3 linked regions of the Mus musculus genome follow. The protein of the gene in region 3 interacts with the protein of the main gene of each other region in a biochemical or structural test. Links are inferred from orthologs where the notes say so. Each region holds a gene or a part of one and is shown on either strand. Other genes may lie near its edges.

The links.
Region 1: the proteins of Acta1 (region 3) and Gsn are reported together in a solved structure, tested with the Homo sapiens proteins (3 studies listed by BioGRID and IntAct). The link is inferred for Mus musculus from reciprocal best matches to the Homo sapiens genes ACTA1 and GSN.
Region 2: the proteins of Acta1 (region 3) and Tmsb4x form a complex in vitro, tested with the Homo sapiens proteins (2 studies listed by BioGRID). The link is inferred for Mus musculus from reciprocal best matches to the Homo sapiens genes ACTA1 and TMSB4X.

What each region holds. Positions count from the first base shown.
Region 1 is NC_000068.7:35,299,338-35,302,961, reverse strand, and holds part of Gsn (gelsolin isoform 1 precursor), read right to left. Parts: intron 1,497-3,624; coding exon 1,406-1,496; intron 472-1,405; coding exon 301-471; intron 1-300. UniProt on the Homo sapiens protein: Calcium-regulated, actin-modulating protein that binds to the plus (or barbed) ends of actin monomers or filaments, preventing monomer exchange (end-blocking or capping).
Region 2 is NC_000086.7:167,206,514-167,210,572, reverse strand, and holds Tmsb4x (thymosin beta-4), read left to right. Parts: upstream 1-1,354; 5' UTR 1,355-1,467; intron 1,468-2,521; 5' UTR 2,522-2,536; coding exon 2,537-2,636; intron 2,637-3,037; coding exon 3,038-3,072; 3' UTR 3,073-3,479; downstream 3,480-4,059.
Region 3 is NC_000074.6:123,891,887-123,896,310, forward strand, and holds the start of Acta1 (actin, alpha skeletal muscle), read right to left. Parts: upstream 2,890-4,424; 5' UTR 2,806-2,889; intron 2,626-2,805; exon of another isoform or gene 2,536-2,625; intron 1,824-2,535; 5' UTR 1,812-1,823; coding exon 1,683-1,811; intron 1,585-1,682; coding exon 1,260-1,584; intron 1,109-1,259; coding exon 947-1,108; intron 850-946; coding exon 658-849; intron 525-657; coding exon 343-524; intron 267-342; coding exon 123-266; 3' UTR 1-122. UniProt on the Homo sapiens protein: Actins are highly conserved proteins that are involved in various types of cell motility and are ubiquitously expressed in all eukaryotic cells.

The sequences.
Region 1 (3,624 bases), on a different chromosome or scaffold from region 3:
GGGCTGCCTTAGCAAAAGTTGTATGTTCAAAACAAAGGAAGTGATAGAGTAATTCACAGCACCAAGACCATAGTGTCTGCTGGAACAGAATCACACATGCCGTCCTGGCTGCACAGAGTGAATTCTAGGGAAGGGAGTGTGGGAAAGCGTGTGAGGAATCCTGGAGGAGTAAGGGGCTGCCAGGGAGGAAGCTCTGGTGCGTCTGCCTCCTCCTCCCACCCAGGCCACTGGAGGGCAACCCACTGGGCCCAGAGGACTTGAGGAGGGCAGAGCTGCCCATGTTCTGGAACCTGGCGTTACCTCCACAGCCCTGGTGGCTCCAGAGCTGCTGGCTCGCACTTGGAAGAGGCGGATACTGGCAGGAGCTGTCTGCCCACCATCACGGGAGGTGCCACCCTTGTAGATGATCATGGGCTTCCCGCCAAACAAGCTCATGAGGTGTGCAGGCTCTTTGCCTTGGACCACTCGGCTCTGGCAGTGAGAAAGGAAAGAGTCAGCTTTTCTTTTTCTTTTTAATGGTCCTGGACCATTCCTCCAGGAAGGCCACCACACTGTGTCTGACTATGGTTGGGGGCACTGTGCAGGGAACAACATCAATCATACTCTGCAGCACCACAGTACTGAGAAGAGAAAGTTGGAGATGATGTCACTGCTCAGGCCCCCTGGGTGCTGTTTTCCCACCATCCATCCCTGTGAAGCCTTGCCTTACAGCCCCTGAGTCCGGTCCAAAAACCAGGGAAGTCCAAGTTTATAAACATGACCTTAAAAGGAAGGACGGAGTGCTTGAGTACATTCTTTCAGAATGCTGAGGTCAGTCCCAGACACATGAAAGCGTGAGGGAATGCAAAGAGCCTTTCGGGTCTGGAGGCACCACTGTACCCCATATGGCCCCAACTTCCAACTTTCCCCTATCTCTAGCCTGTCTTCTTACTTAGATCTAAACACAGCACATAGATTTCCTGTCCTAAATGTGCCCTGCAGGGATCAACTGTGTCATCCCCTGGTGGACAACCAAGGGAGATATATATATCTGGATACAGACATTAAGTCTAGTGCATAGGGGCCATGCATAAACGTTTATTGCATGGGTAGGTGAGTAGATAGACAGATGGATAGATGTATGGGTGGGTGAGTGGATGGATGGATGGATGCGTGGGTGGGTGGATGGATGGATGGATGGATGGATGATGGATAGGTGGATGGGTGGATGGATGGATGGATGGATGGGTGGATGGATGGATAAGTGGACAGGTGGATAGATGGATGGGTGGATGGATGGGTGGATGGATGGGTGGATGGATGGATGATAGATGGATGACGGATGAACGGATGGATAATTAGGCAGCTAAGTGAGCAAACAGATGAAGTCCTGACTGAAGCCATAAGAGGCAATACTCTGGCTCACCTGGACAGGAGTTCCTCCCAGCTCCTCATCCAGCTGGGCAGTCAGGATGGCAGAAGCAGCAACCTCATCCTGGGTAGACTGGGCACCCTGCCTAGAAGAGGGAGAAAGACTCAGCTCTAGTTTCCATAGTTCCTAGTTTATGGGCCTCTTTCTTGCTCTGAGCTCTAGTAACCCATGAAGCTGCTTGTTGTAGGGGTGACCTGGGATGGAAAAGTGCAGGGACTGTGGGGAGAGCCAGAGACAGCAGCTTTGTCAACCTGCCTACTCCTAGCTCAGGTACACCGGGAAGATTCCCTGTCCTAAATGTGCCTGCGGAACTCCCTGGGTCCTCTGATAGACATACAAAGAGCGTACTGAGACTCAGATGCACAAAAGTAGTCGGGGCATTTGCTGGTATAAAAAGACAGAAACAGCTGGCATGATGTGTGCCATCTGTGAGGAAAGACACCAGTCAATCACCCTCATGGGGACATGTGAAAAGGACTCCTGGATGTGTGCTGTGTGTGGTAACTTCCCTGAGAGGGAGAGTTAGGGAGACTCAAGGTCCCCCCACCTCAGCTTCTTGCCAAGGCTGGGCCTTATATTGTCCCTGGCACACACCATATGTCAAAAAGCCTCCTAAGACGTTTGAATCGTATGTTGAACTTAGTGATACAGGACTGCAGTTTCAGCTACCTGGGGAATTAAGGGAGGAGGATTGCAAGTTCAAGGCCTGCATGGGCAAATTAGTGGGGCTCTGTCTCAAAATAAAAGGTAAAAAATGGTATCACTGGCAGTGGCTTGCCTAGCATATGCTAGGCTCTGGGTTCAAACTTCAGCATCCCCATGTCCCTGCAATAACGATATCTGTATTTAGCTTTTAAATGCTGATGCTCTCAGTCAGACAGCAGTGGTACACTCCTTTAGTGACAGCACTTGGGAAGTGAAGGCATGTGGATATCTGTGAGTTCAAGGACAGCCAGGGCTACACTGAAAATCCCTGTCTCGCTCGAAAAACCGAAACAAACAAACAAAACAAAACAAGATAAACAAGCAAACAAAAAGCAGAAGCTTTTAAAAATATGGGATTGCCAGACAGTGTGTGCACTTGATTCCTGGGTACCACTCTTCAGGGGCTACGGTCATAAAGGAGCGGTAATCGGTGTCACAGTCCCAGAAGGCTTAGGAGACCCCTTGGGGTCCTAAGCCCTAGAGATGTCCCATGGGATCTTGGGTTAGGGCCTGGGCCAGGAAAGACTGAGGAATGCGGACCTGGTGACACAGAGTAGACACAGACAGATGCACAGCACTGCATCAGCCGGCCCACGGCTGCCTGGGCTGTGAAAGGAAGCAGGCGGGGCAGAACTTATGTGAGAACTGACCAGGGTTTCTTGCTTTGGTTTCTTTTGTGGGTTTTTTTTTTTTCAACTCTTCAGTAGGTCTAAAATTATTTCAAAATGAAACTTCAATGGAGAAGAAATATGACAACTATTATTCAGACAAAAGTCTGAGAGTGTCTAGTAACAGGGTCACCAGTATGTTATTGTTTATCTTTCAGTACTAGGGGAGGGACCCAGAGCCGCCAGCATGCACACAAGTGTTCTGCCACTGAGCCACACCCTGACCCCCAATGCAAACTTAAAGTAAAAAAAAAAAAACAACACTTTATAAACTATCCATGAGTTTTAACAACACAATCTGCTTAGGTGGATCCAGGGAAACAGGGACTCCTGCATGTAGCTGGCAGGAGTACAGGGATATGAAAGGCCCAGGCACTAGCCAGGGAAACTGGAGCTATCTATCAAAATGACTGACAGGTCCATTGACTGGCAATCCACTCCTGGGAACTCATCATAGAGACTTCTCTACACACCCACCTGTTGCTTAAAGTCACTGACACTGATGAGACAGCGGACTAGCACCCAAGCATGCATGGGTGTGGGAGCTTGTCAGTAAACCACAGTACAGCAACCCAAAGGGATGGCATGGCTGTTAGACACACACCCACTCCAGGAAGCTGTAAATTTCCAGGAAGGTAATAGCCAAAAGGCCAGCTACAGGGAAATGTGCTTAGTGTGCGCTTACATTATACATCCTTCCAGTAATCATGCAAAAAGGATAAATAAAAATTGCCAAACTGGTCAAGAGGAAAGGGTGGGGCTTGGCAGATGAGTCACAGGTGTAACGGAAAGTTCAGAATGACACCTTTGGGCTTTGCTTTGGATCTGGAGCAATGTGAT
Region 2 (4,059 bases), on a different chromosome or scaffold from region 3:
ACTCCCTCCAAGTGGACATGGGGAGAGAGAGGATGTGTTACCAGAGAAGTGACATCTAATGCGCGCTCAAACAGGTCTAGGGCCCCATCCAAAGGGCAGAAAGGCAGTCTCCCAAGTAGAGCATTAACTGGGGAACCACATGGGTCACCTGCTCCTCCCTACCCCCATCTCCTTCCTCCCAAGTAAAAGGGAAGTAGATGAAGAAATGGGGAAGTCCAAGCTGCTCCAGCAGCGGCAGTTTAGGGTCCCTAATAACACTTGACATTACCAGAGAGGCAAAGCCTCTGCCATAAAAATGCTTAGCAAAGGCTTTCTGGAAACATCCCTCCAGGGCACAGAAAAGGAGAAGGAATGTTTTATAGTTCTCTGTGTCTCAGATATAATCCCAGCGATGCCCTTTTAAAAATATCCTACGGAGCTACCTCCAACCACCTGCCACTTGCAGGCACAAGCTTGGTATCTGTAATTACTTTTTAGTAGCAAGTGGGTCCCTGCGACTTACGGACTCAGGTGCCATTTTGAAACCGGCACATCTCTACCTGAATCGTCCACATGTGTTGCAGGGAAAACCTTCCCTTCAAAAGCTAGTTCGCGCTTCAGCTTCAATCCTCAGATAATAGAGCTGATGGACTTGTGGTCTTTGGGAATCCTTGGCTCCCATTAGCAATCACTTTTAATTGATGAAAATAAGAAAAGGAAAATGAACTTCCTTATTGTCAGTCAGTAACAGAAGTTGACTTTGACTTAATTTTGAAGGGGCCGGCTGTGTTCTCTCTGAAGCCCCCTTACACCTAGCAAATGTTAGGCACTTGACTCGATTGCTCACGGAAATTATAGCAAACAATACAAATGCTGCGGCGCTAAAACTTTTCTTTTAAAAATCCACTCAAGGATCCTTTATCGCCCTCTCAAATCAAGGGGGAGACAAGCGAGGGAGACAAAGAGGGCCGGGTGGGGCTGTCCACTGGTCTGAAAGCTGAGTCATTGGAATCAGACCCCAGCAGCTCTTGTATGAGGGACACCTCACCCTATCTTGGGGGCGTTGGCTGCAGACAAAGCCGGTTTCAAAGTAAAGAAAAGCCTGTCCCCTTAGGTGCCACTCAGGCCATTAGTTATCACGCATTGAACCTTAAGAACAGGTTTGGGCGGCTGCTGCAAAAGTTCATGATAATAAAATAGACGTCAAATGGGGGGGAAAGCATTTTGAAGGCGTTTGTTCCTTTTCTAGTTCCGCCATCGATGTGGTTCAAAGGCGCTGGTGAATGGGGATGTGGGGGTTGGGAGGGGGTCTGACAGCCTCCGAACGCCCTTCCGGAGATGCGGCGCGAAGGAGTTAAGCCGGACTACGAGTGACATCACCTCATTTGCATAGAAGCACACATAAAGCGGCGTTCGCCGCGCCCCTCCCGACAATCCGCAGCGGCTTCTGAGCAGATCAGACTCTCCTCGTTCGCGCAGCTCGCTCGGGTGAGCCCCAGGGCCCCTTCCTTCTGTCCTTCCCTGCCTGTCCAGCGCAGGCACTTGCCCCTCATCCTCCTCGTCCTTAAAGCCAAGTCCAAGGCATGGTAGTTTCGGGGAATTGGGGGGGGGGGATGCTAAACTCTTCCAGATGCCGAGTAACGGGAAGGGGAACTTGATTAAGAAAGAGAAAACCCCATAAAATTGGGCATTCTGTTGCGCAGCTTAGAGGGGAATTGTTTTTTTTTTCTCCTCGACCCTCTCTCCGAAATATTTTCCCTTGCCTAGCTAGCTGTAATTAATCAGAATTAGAAAGATCCTTTGTTCAAACGCTCTGTGCTCCCCTTAATCGCCTAATGGCTTCGAGGGCTGTTATCTGTGGCGGGTTTAACCTTCCCGGCCTTTAGCGTGAAAATTCGGAAGCCCTTGCAGACGAATGTATGCAAAGGCCGTCAAAAGGCCCCTGTATGCAGATCAAGATGCTTTTGCGAGAAGTGGGGAGGCAGTTTTGTGTGCCAAGGCAGCATTGTTGGACTAGAGAGAGGAGAGGAAGCGAGTAGGGCGGTGGTCGGCAGCTGGCGGCGTCAGCTCCCCCGCCTTTGTGAGGAGGAGAAAGCTGGACCGCCTGGCATCTTTTGGAGAGCAAGCCCTTCTAGAAAACGGAGATGCGTATTGCGACCTTGGCTCCTTTTTAAGAGATTTTACTAGACTTTCCCCCACTTAAACTGGAAATGGCTTCGATCTATCCAGACTTTAATTTTTTCAAAGCTGCAATGTTAACATTCCGCAATGGTGAATTTTATTATACGGGAATACTCACCTTTGACTATTTCCACCTTCGTTCTTTGAATCTTCCCTTTGGGAATATTAAGGGGGAAGATTTTTTTCCTATAGAAAGAGGAAGATCTTTAGAGAGGACTCGACAAGGAAAGCACACAGAGGGAGAGGCAGTAGGATTTCAGGCTTTGGGCTTTCCGGCGGGGTGGGGGTGTGCTTTTGGAACTGGGAGAGGCGAGGGTGGGTGGCTCTTTCTTAGCTCTGGTCTTGGCTTTTGTACCTGCAGCTCCTTCCAGCAACCATGTCTGACAAACCCGATATGGCTGAGATCGAGAAATTCGATAAGTCGAAGTTGAAGAAAACAGAAACGCAAGAGAAAAATCCTCTGCCTTCAAAAGAAAGTAAGCTGTTCGCCCCCACCCATTTTCAGAACGGGCTGGGCGGGAGCAGAGCAGAGCGGGGAGCAGCGGCCGGGAGGAGGAAGGGAGGGGCAGCAGGGAGGATGGGGGGGGGGGCTGCGGGGGAGGAGTCGACAGTTTGATGATGATGAATATGGCCTGCAAAGGTTAATTAAAAACTGTTTTGCAGTCAACAAGCGCCGGGCTCTAGTGATTTAATAATGGAATATTTCATATTCCATATTGTGCATATACATTTATTGGGTAACTGTACTTCTGTTTAGCATGTCTTGCTTAGCGAGGCTGCTATGTGTCTTTCTAGAATTTTTATAGGGTTTTTAAATGGAAATCATGTCATTTTATAGAATGCTCTAAGTCTCCTTTTTTTTTTCTTTTCTTCACAGCAATTGAACAAGAGAAGCAAGCTGGCGAATCGTAATGAGGCGAGCGCCGCCAATATGCACTGTACATTCCACGAGCATTGCCTTCTTATTTTACTTCTTTTAGCTGTTTAACTTTGTAAGATGCAAAGAGGTTGGATCAAGTTTAAATGACTGTGCTGCCCCTTTCACATCAAAGAATCAGAACTACTGAGCAGGAAGGCCTCCCCTGCCTCTCCCACCCATCTGATGGTCTGGCTAGCAGAGAGGGAAAAGAACTTGCATGTTGGTGAAGGAAAAAGCTGGGTGGGAGATGATGAAATAGAGAGGAAAATTCAAGATGGTCAAAGATGTCCTGCAGGATGTAAAATGCAGTTTAATCAGAGTGCCATTTTTTTTTGTTCAAACAATTTTAATTATTGGAATGCACAATTTTTTTAATATGCAAATAAAGTTTTAAAACCTGATTGGTGTGTCTGCTTGGTGACTGGAAGGAGTAGTTAAATGAGTGATAAAACCCTTGCAAAACTGCCTTGCCTCTTGGTCACTGGGACATAGAAGAGACAAACGTAAACTGCCTTGGCCTAACAGCTCTGGCTTAGTCCAGGTCTGTGAAATACCCTGTCTATAGCAAATGATTGGGAGGTCATCATAAGAGTTCCTCATGGGTTACATGGAAGAGTTAATGAAAATATTTGAAATTGGTATAGCCACCATGGTTGGAAGAAGGGGGCTGTGGAATGAAGGGGTAGGGGGGAGGAACTCACGTGTAGTTAGAGCCTTTCAGGAGTTTTGGAAAGCCAACATTGAATTTATTACATATCACTCAACGCAAAGGGTGTTGGTTTGGTACACTAGCATTAGGTATCAACATGAACTTGGCTAACCAACTATCTGGTATTGAACAAGTGGAATTTAGGGTAAAAATAGTATTTGCTTTAGAAAGGAATTTAGAATTGGTTTGTCCTTGTCTAGCGGCCAGTTTGCAAATGAAGCTCAATGTTTAAAATCGGCTTTATTAAAGTAAACGTGTTTACCAGTAAGTG
Region 3 (4,424 bases):
CAGGCGCCGGCTGCAGTGGCGGCGATGGAGCCACGGCGGAGGACGGGGCCACCCTGCAACCACAGCACGATTGTCGATTGTCGTCCTGAGGAGAGAGAGCGCGAACGCAGACGCGAGTGCGCCTAGAAGCATTTGCGGTGCACAATGGAGGGGCCAGCCTCGTCGTACTCCTGCTTGGTGATCCACATCTGCTGGAAGGTGGACAGCGAGGCCAGGATGGAGCCACCGATCCACACTGAGTACTTGCGCTCAGGGGGGGCGATGATCTGCAAGACAAGAGTGTCACGTGCCTGCGTGTTCCCCCCGCCCCTGGTCTCCACCCACACCAGGCACGTCATCCACCTTGATCTTCATGGTGCTGGGAGCCAGAGCTGTGATCTCCTTCTGCATGCGGTCAGCGATACCAGGGTACATGGTGGTGCCCCCTGACATGACGTTGTTGGCATACAGGTCCTTCCTGATGTCGATGTCGCACTTCATGATGCTGTTGTAGGTGGTCTCATGGATCCCCGCAGACTCCATACCTGGTGTCCGGGGGAGAGGCAGTGTGAGCAACCGCAGAGTCGGGCTAAGGGACCGGCGGGTGGAGACCCCGTACTCTGTGGCGTGGGGCGAGGGAAAACTGATTCCCGCACACCAGCGGATCGGGCGGCTCACCGATAAAGGAAGGCTGGAAGAGCGTCTCCGGGCAACGGAAACGCTCATTGCCGATGGTGATGACCTGCCCGTCGGGCAGCTCATAGCTCTTCTCCAGGGAGGAGGAAGAGGCAGCGGTGGCCATCTCATTCTCGAAGTCCAGGGCCACATAGCACAGCTTCTCTTTGATGTCGCGCACAATCTCACGTTCAGCTGCAGGAGCAAAAGCAGTGGGGGGCCTCAGGGCAAGGCCTGGGGCGTGTGCTCACCCTCTGCCCGCCCTCCCTCAGCGGGCATTGGAAGCACGCACCTGTGGTCACGAAGGAATAGCCACGCTCAGTGAGGATTTTCATCAGGTAGTCAGTGAGGTCGCGACCGGCCAGGTCCAGACGCATGATGGCGTGTGGCAGGGCATAGCCCTCATAGATGGGCACGTTGTGGGTGACACCGTCCCCAGAATCCAACACGATGCCTGTGCAGGGGAGAGGCAGTATGTGAGTGGAGGGGACCAGCAGGCGGCGCAGGTCGGGATACTGCAGAGGATTAAAAAGCGGGGCTGGAATGTTGGAGCAATCCTACCAGGGCCAGCGTGGGCCATGTGTGGGCCATGTGTGAGCGCTTACCGGTGGTACGGCCGGAAGCATAGAGGGACAGCACCGCCTGGATAGCCACATACATGGCAGGCACGTTGAAGGTCTCAAACATGATTTGAGTCATCTTCTCCCGGTTAGCTTTGGGGTTCAGGGGGGCCTCGGTGAGCAGAGTCGGGTGCTCCTCAGGGGCCACACGCAGCTCATTGTAGAAGGTGTGGTGCCAGATCTTCTCCATGTCGTCCCAGTTGGTGATGATGCCATGTTCAATGGGGTACTTCAGGGTCAGGATACCTCGCTTGCTCTGGGCCTCATCACCCACGTAGGAGTCCTTCTGACCCATACCTACCATGACACCCTGCAGATAGAGACATCAGACACTTGTTACTACAGCCAGGGGTGAGGAGAACATTGGCTGGATTCAGAGAGCCTATCTTTCCCTGCCAGCAGCCTGACCTGGTGACGGGGTCGGCCCACGATGGATGGGAACACAGCCCTGGGGGCATCATCCCCGGCAAAGCCAGCTTTCACCAGGCCAGAGCCGTTGTCACACACAAGAGCGGTGGTCTCGTCTTCGTCGCACATGGTGTCTAGTTTCTGCAAAGACAAGGTGTTGAGTGCTGTGTATATGTGATGGGGGGGGGGGGTTAGGGTGAGGCTCCGCTTAACCCATCTTCACTTTGGAGATCCAAAAACTCCTTTCCCCCTTCCCCTTCCTTGCACGGGGGTCAGAGGATGCTCTTCCAGCTTAAGGCTGTGCTTTCGCTATGGGGGAGCTGTCTGTGGATCACACTAAGTCCTCCAACTAGGCATGCAGGGGATATCCTGAGACCCTCTACATTCATTGTAGGCCACCACACACACCACAGCTAGCACTAGTCCTATCCTCTCTGCTCACAATCTCATCTGTGAAGGAGGTATTAAGGCACGCTGCCCACCACCTGCCTGTCCTGTGAGAGGGTCGAGGATTCTGCCCGGGGAAGGGCGATATTGTCACAACTATGGAAAAGCTGTTGAACACTCACAGCATCCCAAACTCAGAAGAAACCCTTCCACCTGTCTCCCATTTCAGAGAAGAGTAGCCAGGGTTGCTGCCCTTTAGAAAAGCCTTGATCTCAAAGGGAGTCGCCCCAAGGCTAAGGCCAGGCTTGACTCTCTCCAAGCTCATCTTCAAATCAGTCTCCCAGGAGCTGGGGTGTAGCTCAGTGGGAGATCCAGCCAACCTCTTGCATCACAAGAGCCCAGATTTGATCCCAGCAGAGAAAGAGGGGAAAGGGGAATGAAAAGCCGGAAAGAAATCTCAACCAACCAGAGGCTGGCGTGTGGCTCAGTAGGAGAGCACCGGCTTGTTCACTTGCAGGACTTGGATTTAGTCCCCAGTAAGAGGGGAGGGAGGAGTCTGCGGGTGGTAATGGATAGATGTCAGACCCCCAGGCATATCCTAAATGCCCAGTCAGCAGCCCAAATGGGCTGGATGTGAGTTTGGAGAAATTTCCAGAACTCAGTGCTAAATACAAGCCCAAGGCTCAATAGCTTTCTTTGCTGGGTCTCCAGGTCACCCTCCCCACCTCCACCCTACCTGCTGCTCTGACTCTGGCCCTGGGTGCCGAGGGTAGGAAGTGAGGCTTCACGTCCGTGTGACCGCCTGTCCCCTTGCACAGGTTTTTATATAGTCCCGGGAGCTCTCCCCACACCGCCCCGAAGGAATGTTGCTGCCCTTCCCAAGCCATATTTGGGTGTCGGGCACTAGAGTCCCTTCCTTCGGCTGGTTCTCAGCCTGGGTCCCCGCCCGGGTCTCCTGCACTGACCAAAGAAGGAGAGGACTGGCCCTGGCCCAGGTAGCTAGGACCGGACCAGGCCGTATATGGAGAGTATCCCCAGCTGTCTGCCCCTCCCAACTGGCTCCAAGGCTCACGGAAGGGCTGTGCTGGGCCAAAGGTCACTGCTTTGCAGACTGCTGGTCTGTACTTCCCAAGATTTACCTGTTTGAAAGGTCTCCCCAGTTCTGCCCACCTGGACACACGATTGCTGACCTGCCACAATGCACCCCATTTATGGGTTCTTAACTCAGACTACTAAGCCTTGATGCTTAAGCTCAGGGGAGGTAGCCCTGTGGTCAGGTGAGCCGGGAGGAGTCATGGGCTCCAGGTAGGGATGGAAAATAAGCCCCACATTTGAACTCCATTTTCTTTCCCACTTTGAAGCTCCCCCAATCCAGAGATCTGACACACATCACCCCCATTCACCCCCACAAGGCTGTCAGTCAGTGTAGGATATGCAGCTGTCACTGGGCAGACAACTGGTGGAAGAGGGGGAGGAGGTAGTGAGAGGAGGCATGGGGACTATGTGGCCCTGGCACACAGAATGGGAGGCCAGGGCATTAGAGCTGTCCCTGCATTCTGCAGTGTACTCTTGAAAGGAATGGAAGGGTCAGTGTGTGTGTGTGTGTGTGTGTGTGTGTGTGTGTGTGTGTGTGTGTAAATCCCAAACTCGGGATTGACCGTCATCGAGTTGGCTAGGCTGAGCAAATGCTACCCCTTCTTTGGTGGCACTAAGCTTCCCTCCCCTGGGTCTGAAAGAAGGATCATACCTGGAACTGTTGGGACCTAGAGGGGGCTGAGGCAGAGAGAGGTGCTGATGAAGATATACCTTCTAAGGAGCACTAAGACCTTACACTGGTGCCCAGGAGCGGCCCCTCCCAGGCAGACTCATCTTTATATTTAGAGGATGATGCCCGTCAGCCCGGCTGCTTCCCATGCACCTTGGGGCCACCACCTGCCAGGCTTGTGTGGGTTCTATTTATACCGCTGATAGATGGGAATCTGCTTTTGGGTTTCTAGAAGGAGCAACTTATGGAAGCTGGGATGGGGGTGAGTAGAGGTCATCTCTTGGCGCCTGTCTCAATTTGGGCAGGGAGAGGGATAAGAAAGCCCAAAGGAAAAGTGTTCTGTGACCAAACAGGCGACATGCTTTGAGGGGTGTGCATCAGAGCCAAGCCACCATGGAGCCATTCACTTTTCTGATGGCTTAAGCGCTCCCAAAATAGCTGTTCCCATTTGGAGTGGAACTTAGCAGCTGGGACAGGTGCAGAGCCTCTGAGAGCAGAGGCTCCATGAAGCGATTTCAGGATCCCACACAGCTCTTCCTAAACCTGAGCTGCACTGCCTAACGGGCATCAGCTCTGTGGCTTTGCCTGTG